2 linked regions of the Xenopus tropicalis genome follow. The protein of the gene in region 2 interacts with the protein of the main gene of each other region in a biochemical or structural test. Links are inferred from orthologs where the notes say so. Each region holds a gene or a part of one and is shown on either strand. Other genes may lie near its edges.

Region 1 (3,818 bases), on a different chromosome or scaffold from region 2:
CAGAGTAACAGGTCTTTGAGAGCCAGATTTCTTGCTGATTGCCAGGTGTTCAAATACTTATGTGCAGCAGTGCAATACAAATACATTCTTTAAAAATCATACAATGTGATTTCCTGATTTTTTTTTAAATTTTTTTTTAAATGCTGTCTCTCACAGTGGGAATGCACCTAATGAATGAATTTCAGACCCATCCATGATTTCTAAGTGGGAGAACTTGCAAAATCGCAGGGTGTTCAAATACTTATGTTCCTCACTGTACATGACCTACCATTTCAAATAAACTAGACAGTTTGTTATGTCCAGACTTTCTGCTTGCGTCAAAAGGCTGTTATAAATTTACAGATGCCTACTGACAATGCTGCAGACTGATACAGTAGGATTCTAGCATCTGTAAGTGCTACCATAACAGATACCATTGCTTTTATAAATTATTCCTTTCTGTATCTCACATCCACAAGTGTTTTAAGGGACAATATACACCCCTTTTTAACATAAACTGAATGTATAGGGCTTGTGCTAAACATACTTTTTGCCTATTATTTAAATGAAAAAATGTTAAAAACTTTGGTTTCTGTTATTTCTGGCACTAAGCAAAAATATGAAGCCTTTTTCACTTTAGCACTTCCTGATCCTGAAGAACTTTAGAGGAGTTGATAAAACTAATTACCAGTTCACTGTGAAGTCCCTGATAATGAGCTGGTCAAAGACAGGAGCTTAGATAAGGAAAAAGTTTATTTGTTCAAAGATAGGGACTCTAAACAAACTGACCTATTTATAAAGAAAGGTGGGTTTGGTTCAGTGAAAATAGCAACTTTCAAATTAGTGCTTTATAATGGCACGCAAAATAGGAAAATATAGTATTTTTTAAAATTTATAGCGTTTATCCTCCTCGTGTGGGGGTGACTGAAGTCCATTTCAAGTTCTGCACCCACCATGAGGGTAGCAATTATTTTTAAGTGGTGTTTGTAGCCAGGACAAAGGTGCTGAGGAATTAAATGGCGTGAGTGCCCTTACTACTGACAGATCCCTTAGGCTTCTCTCCCTTTCTGAAAACTGTCACTGGAGGGTTCATGTTAGTAGATATTACATCTCAAGATATGCCAGTAGTCCCAGGCTACTTTATCAAGGTAATTCTGCCAATTGAAGGTAGTGATCAGGACCTGTTGATTGGGTTTAGTTATTTGTTGATGAGGTGTAATAAAAGTTGCTGTGTCGGCCTGGTTATCGAGTAGTCTTTGAGAACAGTTTTTCTGCAAGTAAATGGTTCTTTAGTTTCAGAACTTATTCTCTTGCCTTTATGGCGTCAGAGTTGTTCCTGATCTCCCTTTGAAATTGTGAATAAGGCACAACTTGATAGTGTGTGTAAGATGTGTGTAAAATAATAAATGTAAAATAATATTTCTGTCTGTCTCTCTTCAAAACAGTGTAGTTTGCAGCCTAGTTCCTGTCCTATAGATCTGTTCATATAAGAAGTCAACCCTTGAAGTATCAAAACAGGGCATGAGTGTAGCTTTTGTAAAGCAAAATGTGTTGCCCAAACTGAGAATAAATCTGAATCTTTTCATACTGGTTCATGAACAGGTTAGAACATGTTGGGGCAACATTCAAACCAATCACAGTCCCTGCTTGTTAGAGTTAGTATTTTCAATTATGAAGTAGTTGTGGTATAAAAGTGCTCTTAGAAGCTCTGTCACAAACTCAGTTGGGGGACCGTGTATGTGCAAGCAGAGCAAATCCGACTGCCTCAATTCTCTTCTCATGTGGGATAATGGTACAGAAGTTTTTCACAACTGGTTAAAAAATAATTGCCTGGAAAGTCAGGTAAATTAGCTAAAGTTCATAGCAAGCATGTGTGTCTTGAGTGTAGGATTTCATGGATAGAACCAGTTGTAGGTAGTAATGTAGAAACCATGCCACAGGTTGCCATAGTGAGTCCATAACTGAAATAACAGGGTTTCCTGAAGAAGACCTGGTAGACATACTGTATGTATTCTTGGTAAGGTGTAAATGCAGAACCAAATTATATAGATTGTAAGCTCTACGGGGCAGGGACCTCCTTCCTCTTGTGTCCTCGACTCTTAACTTATTGCTGCTGTATTTATCTGTATTTATTATTATACTTTGTATTTATCTATTATCTTATTAACACCCTGTTTGTATTAATGTATTCTACTGTACAGCGCTGCGTACATAAGTAGCGCTTTATAAATAAAGATATACAATGCAATACAATACAATACAAAACAAATTGCAGAGAAATGGCACGCACGTCTTGTAAATACAATCATGTGGAATTAGATAAAGAGGAAGAAGAATATGGTTTGGTCAATCCAGTTGGCATTCTGGTGTTCTTTAAAGAAGGAGGTTGGATCCTGTTTCAATTTAGAATATGTTGGATAATTGTGACAAAAGCTCTGTGTGGTAAAAGGATTTAGGGCTCTGGCACACGGGGAGATTAGTCGCCCGCGGCAAAACTCCCTGTTCGCGGGCAACTAATCTACCCGAGTTGCCTTCCCCTGCCATCCCATCGGCGACAATGTAAGTCGCCGGTGGGATGGCAGACGCGGCTGGGCGATTTCGGGAGATCGGCGAAAAAGACTCGCGAGTCTTTTTCGACGATTTGCGCAAAATCGCGCCGCCGCGTGTGCCATCCCGCCAGTGACTTACATGTATGCCGGTGGGATGGCAGGGGAAGGCAACTCGGGGAGATTAGTCGCCCGCGAACAGGGAGTTTTGCCGCAGGCGACTAATCTCCCCGTGTGCCAGAGCCCTTATCAAGTATAAATACAGCAACCCCTTTATCAGCCTTCATGATCAGTAGTTTGGGATCATTAATTTAAGTGCAAAGGCCTTCTCTTTCAGAGTTTGTTACATTACAAAACATAATATTGTCTGTTGGTGTTAGCTTGCTGGTTTAGGAAACACATAGATTTTAAAGGGATTCTGTCATGATTTTTATGGTGTATTTTTCATTACTAAATTATACAGTTTACATAGCAAGTAATTCACTCTACCATTTCAAATTTTATTCTTGAGCCAACAAATGTATATTTTTAGTTTATATTGGTGTGAAGGCAGCCATCTCAGTGCATTATGCCCGAGTCTGAGCTTTCAGAAGGAGCCAGCGCTACACATTACTCCATGTAACTGGAGGAATCATGAGCTGGACTTGGATTTCTTACTCTTGAGTGCTATTCTGATATCTACCACCTTTAGCAATGCTGGTGTCAGGGAGCTGCTATCTTGCTACCTTCCCATTGCTCTGCTGATCGGCTGCTGGGGAGGAAAGGAAGGGGGGGGGGTGATAAAACTCCAACTTGCAGCGCAGCAGTTAAGTTTGACTGAAGTTCATCAGAGCACAAGTCACATTGGTTGTGGCATCCTGGGAAATGTCCTCATCCACCATTAACTTCATTGTTAATAAAATGCAAATAATTATTGTTTTGTAGTATAGCAATTACCTTTTAATATCTCTGTGCACATGACTGTTTTCATGCAAATAATTGATACCATTTGCAGTTCCATATGCAATGTTACATCTCAAAACCCATGATACTGGTGGTGTATCATTCTAAAAAATAAAAACAACATAATAAAAAAGACCCCCCCACTGAATTATAGTCAATTTACAGGAATTACAGTTTGTGACCATTATGCAAATCTGGATAACCTGAATTTTTCTATTTTTATTTCAAGGACAAGAAAACTGATACATATAAAGGGCAAAATAATGCAAAAAAATTAAACGGCAATTAACCAACAGTTTATCATATTATATAAACTTTGGGTATCATAAGTGTTTAAAAAGACATGGAAAG
Region 2 (4,526 bases):
CTGGCTCCCATTATAATTTTATTTTAATTTTTCTTTATTTATATTCACACCAAATGATGTGACCTGTATATAAACCTGCGCCCCCCCCCCCCAGCAGCCCTGTACCTATCCCTCTGCTCCCCCCAGCAGCCCTGTACCTATCCCTCTGCTCCCCCCAGCAGCCCTGTACCTACCCCTCTGCTCCCCCCAGCAGCCCTGTACCTACCCCTCTGCTCCCCCCAGCAGCCTTGTACCTATCCCTCTGCTCCCCCCAGCAGCCCTGTACCTACCCCTCTGCTCCCCCCCCAGCAGCCCTGTATGTATCCCTCTGCTCCCCCCAGCAGCCCTGTACCTACCCCTCTGCTCCCCCCAGCAGCCTTGCACCTACCCCTCTGCTCCCCCCAGCAGCCCTGTACCTACCCCTCTGCTCCCCCCAGCAGCCCTGTACCTACCCCTCTGCTCCCCCCAGCAGCCCTGTACCTACCCCTCTGCTCCCCCCAGCAGCCTTGTACCTATCCCTCTGCTCCCCCCAGCAGCCCTGTACCTACCCCTCTGCTCCCCCCCCAGCAGCCCTGTATGTATCCCTCTGCTCCCCCCAGCAGCCCTGTACCTACCCCTCTGCTCCCCCCAGCAGCCTTGCACCTACCCCTCTGCTCCCCCCAGCAGCCTTGCACCTATGCCTCTCCTTCCCCCCAGCAGCCCTGTACCTACCCCTCTGCTCCCCCCAGCAGCCTTGTACCTATCCCTCTGCTCCCCCCAGCAGCCTTGCACCTACCCCTCTGCTCCCCCCAGCAGCCTTGCACCTATCCCTCTGCTCCCCCCAGCAGCCCTGTATATAACCCTGTGCTCCCCCCAGCAGCCCTGTATATAACCCTGTGCTCCCCCCCAGCAGCCCTGTATATAACCCTGTGCTCCCCACAAGAAGCCTTGTATATAACCCTGTGCTCCCCCCCAGCAGCCCTGTATATAAGCCTGTGCTCCCCCCCAGCAGCCCTGTATATAACCCTGTGCTCCCCCCGGCAGCCCTGTATATAACCCTGTGCTCCCCCCGGCAGCCCTGTATATAGTAACCCTGTGCTCCCCCCCCCAGCAGCCCTGTATATAACCCTGTGCTCCCCCCCCAGCAGCCCTGTATATAACCCTGTGCTCCCCCCCAGCAGCCCTGTATATAACCCTGTGCTCCCCCCGGCAGCCCTGTATATAGTAAACCTGTGCTCCCCCCCCAGCAGCCCTGTACATAACCCTGTGCTCCCCCCCCAGCAGCCCTGTATATAACCCTGTGCTCCCCCCGGCAGCCCTGTATATAGTAACCCTGTGCTCCCCCCCCCAGCAGCCCTGTACATAACCCTGTGCTCCCCCCCCAGCAGCCCTGTATATAACCCTGTGCTCCCCCCCAGCAGCCCTGTATATAACCCTGTGCTCCCCCCCAGCAGCCCTGTATATAACCCTGTGCTCCCCCCCAGCAGCCCTGTATATAACCCTGTGCTCCCCCCGGCAGCCCTGTATATAGTAACCCTGTGCTCCCCCCAGTAGCCCTGTATATAGTAACCCTGTGCTCCCCCCGGCAGCCCTGTATATAACCCTGTGCTCCCCCCAGTAGCCCTGTATATAGTAACCCTGTGCTCCCCCCGGCAGCCCTGTATATAACCCTGTGCTCCCCCCAGTAGCCCTGTATATAGTAACCCTGTGCTCCCCCCGGCAGCCCTGTATATAACCCTGTGCTCCCCCCGGCAGCCCTGTATATAACCCTGTGCTCCCCCAGTAGCCCTGTATATAACCCTGTGCTCCCCCCGGCAGCCCTGTATATAACCCTGTGCTCCCCCCCAGCAGCCCTGTATATAACGCTGTGCTCCCCCCGGCAGCCCTGTATATAACGCTGTGCTCCCCCCAGTAGCCCTGTATATAACCCTGTGCTCCCCCCGGCAGCCCTGTATATAACCCTGTGCTCCCCCCCAGTAGCCCTGTATATAACCCTGTGCTCCCCCCAGCAGCCCTGTATATAACCCTGTGCTCCCCCCAGTAGCCCTGTATATAACCCTGTGCTCCCCCCAGCAGCCCTGTATATAACCCTGTGCTCCCCCCAGCAGCCCTGTATATAACCCTGTGCTCCCCCCAGCAGCCCTGTATATAACCCTGTGCTCCCCCCAGCAGCCCTGTATATAACCCTGTGCTCCCCCCAGCAGCCCTGTATATAACCCTGTGCTCCCCCCAGCAGCCCTGTATATAACCCTGTGCTCCCCCCAGCAGCCCTGTATATAACCCTGTGCTCCCCCCAGCAGCCCTGTATATAACCCTGTGCTCCCCCCAGCAGCCCTGTATATAACCCTGTGCTCCCCCCAGCAGCCCTGTATATAACCCTGTGCTCCCCCCAGCAGCCCTGTATATAACCCTGTGCTCCCCCAGCAGCCCTGTACATCTCACAGCACAACCCACACACAATTGAGATTCATTCTGTAGCATGTAGCACTGACCCAAAGCCCATACCTGGGCACCATTCTGTTCCAAGTGAGGTCCCCACCCACCCACTGGCACAGAGCGGTGACAGCCCATACTCATGGGCAGGACTGACTGGCACCCACACCAGCTTATAACTCCTGAGCCATATTATCCCCCCTGGCACCCACTTACAACTGCACCACCTGACCCCCAGCTCAGGGTGCCCATCAGTAGCGCCCATCAGTAGCACCCAGATTGTTACTCCCTCTCATTTGCGGAACTCACCAAACTTCTTCCAGTCCGTCTCCTCCAAGGAGTCCATGATGTGGAAGAAGCGGTACATGACCTGAGAGGGGACTCGGTACAGAAATTCCTCCTCGAAGGAGCCTCTGGACATGGTGACTGTCTGTCCGATGTGAAACCATTGAGCAAGCCCGGCCCCTCCGCCCAGACACAAGCGCACTGCCCCGCTGTCCCGCAGCAACTCCGGCTGATCAGCCACTTCCCCTCAGCAACGTCGGGACATGGCAGAATGCACTGAGGTCACCATGTGACCTAGAGGTGGGTGGGTTGTAGTGATATCATTTGGGGGAGGGGCTTGTGTCACTGTTTAGGAATTCACATGCTGCGATGAGGGGGAAAATTTGAATGTAGAATTAGTACCTACAGGGCAGCAGGGGGGGGAGCAGAGGGATAGGTACAGGGCTGCAGGGGGGGAGCAGAGGGATACATACAGGGCTGCAGGGGGGGGAGCAGAGGGATAGGTACAGGGCTGCTGGGGGGGGAGCAGAGGGATACATACAGGGCTGCTGAGGGGGAGCAGAGGGATAGGTACAGGGCTGCTGGGGAGAGCAGAGGGATACATACAGGGCTGCAGGGGGGGGAGCAGAGGGATAGGTACAGGGCTGCTGGGGGGGGGGGGAGCAGAGGGATACATACAGGGCTGCAGGGGGGGGAGCAGAGGGATAGGTACAGGGCTGCTGGGGGGGGAGCAGAGGGATACATACAGGGCTGCAGGGGGGGGAGCAGAGAGATAGGTACAGGGCTGCTGGGGGGGAGCAGAGGGATACATACAGGGCTGCTGAGGGGGAGCAGAGGGATAGGTACAGGGCTGCTGGGGAGAGCAGAGGGATACATACAGGGCTGCAGGGGGGGGAGCAGAGGGATAGGTACAGGGCTGCTGGGGGGGGGGGGGGAGCAGAGGGATACATACAGGGCTGCCGGGGTAGCAGAGGGATAGGTACAGGGCTGCTGGGGGGAGCAGAGGGGTACATACAGGGCTGCTGTGGGGGAGCAGAGGCACATGTACAGGGCTGCTGGGGGGAAGGAGAGGGATACATACAGGGCTGTTGTGGGGGAGCAGAGGGATAGGTACAGGGCTGCAGGGGGGGGGAGCAGAGGGATAGGTACAGGGCTGCTGGGGGAGCAGAGGGATACATACAGGGCTGCTGGGGGGGAGCATAGGGATAGGTACAGGGCTGCGATGGGGGGCGAGCAGAGGGATAGGTACAGGGCTGTGATGGGGGGCGAGCAGAGGGATAGGTACAGGGCTGCGATGGGGTGGCGAGCAGAGGGATAGGTACAGGGCTGCTGGGGGGGGAGCAGAGGGATACATACAGGGCTGCTGAGGGGGAGCAGAGGGATAGGTACAGGGCTGCTGGGGGGAGCAGAGGGATACATACAGGGCTGCTGGGGGGGAGCATAGGGATAGGTACAGGGCTGCGATGGGGGCGAGCAGAGGGATAGGTACAGGGCTGCTGGGGGGGGAGCAGAGGGATACATACAGGGCTGCTGAGGGGGAGCAGAGGGATAGGTACAGGGCTGCTGGGGAGAGCAGAGGGTTACATACAGGGCTGCTGGGGGGGAGCAGAGGGATAGGTACAGGGCTGCTGGGGAGAGCAGAGGGATACATACAGGGCTGCAGGGGGGGGAGCAGAGGGATACATACAGGGCTGCAGGGGGGGAGCAGAGGGATACATACAGGGCTGCTGGGGGGGAGCAGAGGGATAGGTACAGGGCTGCTGGGGGGGAGCAGAGGGATAGGTACAGGGCTGCTGGGGGGGAGCAGAGGGGTACATACAGGGCTGCTGGGGGCGAGCAGAGGGATACAT

The links.
Region 1: of the proteins of irak1 (region 2) and irak4, one has a biochemical effect on the other in vitro, tested with the Homo sapiens proteins (2 studies listed by BioGRID). The link is inferred for Xenopus tropicalis from reciprocal best matches to the Homo sapiens genes IRAK1 and IRAK4.

What each region holds. Positions count from the first base shown.
Region 1 is NC_030679.2:64,402,479-64,406,296, forward strand, and holds part of irak4 (interleukin-1 receptor-associated kinase 4), read right to left. Parts: intron 3,572-3,818; coding exon 3,462-3,571; intron 1-3,461.
Region 2 is NC_030684.2:32,216,518-32,221,043, forward strand, and holds the start of irak1 (interleukin-1 receptor-associated kinase 1), read right to left. Parts: upstream 2,933-4,526; 5' UTR 2,813-2,932; coding exon 2,701-2,812; intron 1-2,700.